Linked DNA regions of Oryzias latipes. The protein of the gene in region 1 purifies or fractionates together with the protein of each later gene. This does not show direct contact. Links are inferred from orthologs where the notes say so. Each region holds a gene or a part of one and is shown on either strand. Other genes may lie near its edges.

The links. The genes of interacting proteins can lie anywhere in the genome.
Region 2: the proteins of arid4b (region 1) and suds3 purify together in Homo sapiens (affinity purification with western blotting; 3 studies listed by BioGRID, with this or other methods). This does not show direct contact. The link is inferred for Oryzias latipes from reciprocal best matches to the Homo sapiens genes ARID4B and SUDS3.

The regions. Positions count from the first base shown.
Region 1 is NC_019873.2:28,207,880-28,210,709, forward strand, and holds the end of arid4b (AT-rich interactive domain-containing protein 4B), read right to left. Parts: intron 2,598-2,830; coding exon 2,451-2,597; intron 2,363-2,450; coding exon 2,208-2,362; 3' UTR 512-2,207; downstream 1-511. UniProt on the Homo sapiens protein: Acts as a transcriptional repressor. May function in the assembly and/or enzymatic activity of the Sin3A corepressor complex or in mediating interactions between the complex and other regulatory complexes.
Region 2 is NC_019867.2:3,527,260-3,531,235, reverse strand, and holds the start of suds3 (sin3 histone deacetylase corepressor complex component SDS3), read right to left. Parts: upstream 2,814-3,976; 5' UTR 2,460-2,813; coding exon 2,348-2,459; intron 1,744-2,347; exon of another isoform or gene 1,647-1,743; coding exon of another isoform or gene 1,631-1,646; intron 954-1,630; coding exon 884-953; intron 798-883; coding exon 742-797; intron 1-741.

The sequences.
Region 1 (2,830 bases):
GTACGTCACCTACACAAAGGCGCCAACTTCCGCCGAGATTTTTAAGTATTTTAAGCTTTTTATTTTAAGAATATTTCATTTTTGCACTAAAATATATAGACACAATATATCTTTTTAAATAAATGTTGAATTATTAATAAAGGTTTTAGGCGCTACACTACAGCAAATATAAACAGAAAAAAACGTATTACTATTTTTTTTTAAAATAATTCTTAAGTATGACAAGAGTTTTATTCAGTTAACATCTTTTCAAAAAGACCTAATTGACTTAACTGAATTTTAAAAATATTATAAAACAAGGAAAAATGAATAGTTAAGTGAAGACACATCTTTTCAAAATAAAGGGAAAATTATACTCCTGCACTCGAAAACCTTAGATAAAAATCTACTAAATCTATTTCACAGAAAGTGAATTATTAAGTTTAAAGGTTACATCATAGAACAGAACAGTAGGTTAATGCAGTATAAATTCATTTTTCCCCTTAAATAAAGGTTAAAAGGAACAGACTCATTCACAAACTATGGCATTTATTTTAAATGGAGGCTTCTGCTTTGCTTACATTTTTACAATAAATTACACAATGACCATTATTATCAGATGTGCCTAATAAATACTTATGGAGCAATAATCCAATTGGCTCCATTACTCACTCTTAGCCTATGATGCTGACCATTTTCCACATACTGTTTCATACAGCAATAGCTTCAGGCCACCAAGGGTTGAAAGAGTCCAGCCGCATCTAGAACCACCATTCCTCTCTAAGAAGCTCTATCTAAAAAAAACATAAAAATAAAATAAAAATGAAGAAGCAATCTAAAGGAAATGAGAAATTTAAAAAATAAAAAGGGGAGGGGGATAGAAAAACAAAGAGATGGTGGAGGAAACAAGAGGAAACAAACATGCTGCAACCCTGATTATTTACACTTAAGCTATAGTTAAAACCATAAAACTGTCTGTACAGAAAAGTACATGTTATTAACAGTGCAAGATATTAAATAGCTCGACTCAAAACACTTCTCAATATACAAATGTATAACAAAAGCATACATCTAGGTACAAGTTTGAAACCGAAACGTAACTTTAGGTTAACACACAGCTGGGGGGTTTATGTACAAACACTGGAGAAAGTTTTACACGTACTTCACCTTAGCATAGAAATGCACATTTACAAGATCTCTACCTTAACTATGATCATGTATGGAAATAAAAACAAAACCTTTTTTTTGTGGAGATGAAAATGATGAGGAGCTTTTGGATGATGAGTAGAAGTTGCTTCAGTGGTTTAAAAAGATTTCTTTAAAGGCTCCAAACGTAGCTTTCTTTAGTTGGTCAGCGGTGATTAGGCTAAATTCATACCGGTGACAACATAAAATGATGGAGGGTTTTAAAAGGCTCATGAACCGAAGTGATGTTCTCTCATTGCACATTTCCATCCATCATTCAGTAGTAAATTACAGGTGAAAATCCTCTCGTAGTTCTTACATTTTTACCGTCCGTCGTCCCTTTGCTCACTGCATTCTTCAGTCTTTTTAGAAAAGAGACAAATGGTTCCAGCTGACCCCCTGACCTGACGAGGATCAGGAAAAAGTGCTTCTCTTTTTCTCAAAGTGCCCCCAGGAGAAGTTCAAAAAGGCACTACAGTATCATTCATGCTCATGATGCTATCAGAGCCATCGCCGCCGGACCACGAGTCTGTACTGCTGACGTTGAGCTCACAAAAGCCTTTTTTCACTGTTTTCAATGAGGGTGGGGGAAGAAACATGGCAAAATGATGGTTTGCCCCTTAAAGCCAATGGGGCAGTGGTCCTTAGAAGCCCCTCAACAGCAACACGAGAAGCCCTGTTTGCTTTTAGGGCTGAACATTTTCCTCAAACGGGTTTAGCAAACGGAAAAGATTATTGCTTGCAAAAACAACCCTCGAAATGTTTCCGGGAACGAATGTAAAACCAGTAACTTTTGACAAATTTCATCTCCTTACACAACCGTCAGAAAAGTGCACTTAAGTGCTGATAGCTTGCCATGAAACAGTTGTCAGTAGAAAATAGTGCTTGTTTCTCGTTGTGGTGACTGGTCGGGTTTGGTGCCCCAGCGGTTAGAGTTTACAGGTTGACCCATCCGTCCTGTTGGGACGGAGCGGCGGCGGCGGCGGCGAGCCCAGGATGCTGGTTAAGTGCTCAGTGCGATGGCTCATTGCTGCTCGGTTCTGTCACCTGCACTCCACTGACAACCCAGAGTTCTGAGACGAGGAGGATGAGGATGGAACCGGGGGGTCGGCAAGTGTCAGCATGACGGCCGCTGTTAAGGAGCTAGAGGACGGTGATGAAGAGGAGGAGGAGGAGGAAGAACAAGCAGCCACAGTACCTGCAGAGGAAAAAACAAAGGGATTTTACTGAGCTCTTTGCTCATTTGTTGGAGGCAGATTCATGAAAGCTGGAAGCGATGATCTCACTTTCCCGCTCCTTCTTCTTCATGCGTTTTCGTCTTCTGTCAATGGAGGCCACCTCAGACTTCAGGGACAGGTAGTGGTTCCTGATGTCTTGGAGTTTCTCCTGAAGGAAAGAGATTCTCTCCAGGCTGCTCATCTTCTCCAGATCAGCTGAGCAGAAGGAAAAAAAGAAGGTTTTCAGAAAATCTCTGGTTCGGGAAGACGGAGGAGCAGATCCGCGCTGTTCTGTCCCGTTGAGTATTTTGTTGTTAGTTTGTAATTTGAATTTATGGAGGCCAAGCTGACAGTCAGAAATGATCATGAACTATGACCTTTTGGGATTGGTGCTCAACCATAACTGTGTAATTAAAGATTGAAGGAATATCTGAGGGCAAAGCTTAAAG
Region 2 (3,976 bases), on another chromosome or scaffold:
AAAGTTGACAAAAACAAACATACTCATAGTTTCTTTTGGGAGAAAAGAGTCGGAGAAGAAACAAAAGAGGACTTCAAAATAAAGGACAGCTGCATTTATCAGAAAAAAACAGTCTTAAATCCAAATATGGACCATAATAATAATGAATAATATTCAGCAAGTTATGAGGATGCTGCTAATAAACTTACTCAAACAGTGGATTAGTGTTTTTTTTAATAATGTTTAAAGAGTTCAGAGTTTTTAAGCTTCCTCCTTGATGGCTGTGGGTTCAGGGAAACTCTAGATCACATTTTAATCGTTCCTACATGAAATCTAGTGTTCAAATTAAGTTTAAAGCAGATATTTTACAGAGGATGAAGATGAACATTACCCTCAAAACCTAAAGAAAGCAGGAGGCAAAAAACAATAAAAGAACTCAGAGGCCCACTTCAGCCCCGTCCGTGAAAATACCGTTTGATTTTAAACCGATCTGTGGCCTGAAAAAGGTTGGAGATCTCTGGTTTACACCCACATCTTTGCTTTAAGAAAAAAGCCAGATCTAAAACCAGGGGGGGCACCTGAGGGCTGGATTTGTTCTCCAGCACATCCTAGACACACCTGGTGATCCAGGTAACCAGTAGAGCAATGATATCTGGGAAAACATGCAGACCTTTCCTACCACAAACAAACCCCTTCAGACATACTTTGGTTTTAATGACGCACTCTGAAATGATGGCGTTCTGTGCAGGCCTGCATCTTTACCTTCTTGTAACTGTTGCAGCTGTCTCTTCAGCGAGGCCAGCTTGTCTTGGTACATTCTGTCAGGAAAACAAAACCACAAATAAGGGTTCGGCTCAGGCCACGCACACACACACTAGTACACACAAAGACACAAATCCCTTACTGCTCTTTGATTTCCACATAGTCATCTTCGTCATGCTTGGCCAGGTCCGTCTCACTGGCATCTTCTGTGTCTTTGAGGGGGGGGGGGGGGGGGGGGGGGACAAAGAGACTGAGTTGAAGTTTGAACTCACTTAAACCCATCTGATCATGTCAGCGGCTCCCTCCCCGGAAGGAAAGACAGACAGACAGACAGCACAGGTCTTATTGCAGACCAGCCTGGGGGGCTCCGGTGAGGTCATACTGAATGCCCCCCAGGTCAGATCCACGTTTGTTTTTAAGCCTCACGTCAGTTCAACTCAAAAGGGACAAAGTTAAAGTTCGAGGCGGAGGAATGACGGTGCAGATGTCCGCGTGAAAGTCAAACATTTGCCGCATGCTGCTGGGCTTTGATCCTCCGCGCTCCCGCTGTCTGTCTGTCAGGTCCAGCAGCGGCTACCCCCCTCGGAGCGATGCCGGGACGTTTCTACCCCCCCAGAAGCACAACGATGACGCGATCGACTTCACAAACGTGCCGTTTTCTTCGTGAACCCGTGGGAAAAAGACACGGACAGAGAGGCCCACGTAAGCTGACGCAGCGCTTTCGGTTTCAGTTAGCTTTGAGGGCTAGCTAAAGTTAGCTCCAACAGTTGTTCCAAGGAGATCGGAGCGATCGGGACCGTCAGCACACACGCGCGCGCGCGGAGAGAAGGGGAGATAAAAGCTACGCTACGCAGTTCTTCTGGAGGTCAGGAGCACCAAACAAGCAGACCTGGCAGGGCTGTCATCGCCTCGATGCGCCGGGTTCCGCTGCGATCGCCTGACCGGAGTGTGAAAGGGCAGAACGGTGGACACGGCAGGCAGGCCGACCTGTCAACGCTCAGAGCTAAAGTTACGTAGGAGGGCGGCTGATTAACGCTGCGGACGGACGCTGCGGGGAATTGCACTGAAATCCTGCGGTAACTAACTGCAGGGGAGGGAGGTACTCCTGTGACTTACTCTGCAAATCACTCACTTAAACCCTTTTATTAGACGATTCCAATTTTTTCGAGCAGAAATGTGACATTTGAGCATAAACATTCATGCACCACAAAAGGCAACCCTTTAGGAAATAGCGATAGAAAAGGGACTCATTCTAATTATTTATTAGTGGCTAATTATTTGATATATTTGTTTTAATAAAGTCACTTTACTCAATTATTTTTATTTGTTTTCCTTCCTTTGTTTAAAAAAAACAATTCGGGAACCAAATGTTAGCTTGAAGCTAAGCCTAGGCAGTACAAACTCTACCACTTTCACGCTCAATAATCAAACCTCACATGTTTACCCAAAATATATATTTTCAAATCCCAAACTTAACTTAACTGTAGGTGCTGTTTCAACGAACAACAAGCGAAACATGTGCAATGGCCGCGCATTTCCGTTTCTTCTCCAATAAATAGACGGAGCCCGCGAACCACAGAGAAAGGTTCTACTGATTTAACGTTACCTTCTTCGGAGTCTCTGCCCCTGAAGCTCCGATCATCGTCGTCATCCACGCTGTCGAGCTCCTCCTCGTCGTTGTAATAATCCACCACGGGCGATATTAAAGTGGACGCCATTTATTTATTTGGAGGATGTAAACAAAACAAAATAAACAATCGCTCGGTGTTTTGCTGCTCGCTTGAAACTGCGCCTACAACTGCGAGGACCCCCAAGCGCTAAGCTGTCCAAGCTTGTGCCTGACGAGTATTCCGTTTAAAAATTGCACAAAATATACTTTATTGTATTTTATTTAACTAGAAGGACGAACATATAATTAGTTTTATTCACCTTGGAGAATAAACACATCCGCTTTAATTTTGTATCTGCAATGGAAAAAAAGGAAAAAACAGGCAATTGCAAGAGATTCGATACAGTATTTGGTGCTGTCAATGGCCGTTTATTTATTTACTTCTTTTTGTGTGGGGTTTGTGTGTTCTGGGTTATGAAATTATTCAATTGATCATGTTAATTGGGTAATTTGGTAGCCGTTATCTGACATTGGGAGTAAACTGATGAACCTGGAAAAATCTGGTTATAGTGTGAATACCACAGGATGATGGACTCCATAGGCTTTCAAGAGACAACTGTCTTTTTTGCTGCATGAAGAAATAAAAAAGGACAAGAGAACCTTAAAGTCTTTTTGTAAATCTATAAGCTGTGGTTATGGCTAATTTTAATAAAAATTAGTTAATTATTTAATAAAATAAGCAAAAACACATGAGCCTTAAGTCTCCACACATAATTCTTCAAATTAATTTTATAATAAACCACTTTTTTATTGCCAAACATCTACTTGTCTCCAGACACATCAGGTCCAATTAGCACAGTTATGTGATACTCCCAGTTATAAATTTAATGGATAAAGATATAATTTAATACTCCTAAGTTCCCTAGAAAGAGCCATTATCAATTTCCCAGAAGTGACCAGTTTGGATGAAGAATCATACAGAAAATCATAAAAGAAGCAGAATAAGAAGATGGAAAGAAGATCAGACCCTCGATTGACTCAGTTCAGGTTAGAACCCATGATTTAACGGCCAGACAGAGACTTTTGGACAAACATGGATCCATAGGAGAGTTCAAGGAGAATCACACTGTGAGCAACAGGAACATTTGGATTATCCACAGAACTTTAGGACAAATGTGACTCAAGAAGAACTGTCTTTCTGGATAAACAACAGTGGCGTTTCACTGAAATAAAAAATGTCACATCAAAGCAAATCTGCATCCTTGCACTCATTTAAATAATCCCCATAATCACATTTTTTGTTTGAATATTTTTTTTCTGCTCTGTAATGTCTTTTAAACCTGACAAATTAAAAAAACAACAACATTGTTTTATATCTCAAACCTTTTTTGTCTGTCTGTCTGTCTATAATTTACAATGTTCCAATTTAGTCTGAAGAAGGATTCATGCCCAGCCCAACCAGGATGCTCTCCTGGTTGGGCTGGGGCGGCGCTCTCTTTCCCTCCGTGCTTCCCTGGCCTCTGGCTCTGGGGGCCTTGCGGCGGCCCTGCTGGCCCTGGCCTGGGTGGCGGGCTTGGTCGCCCGGGCGGCGGTTGTTCCCTGCCGGTTCCCGTGTGGCGTTGGGGG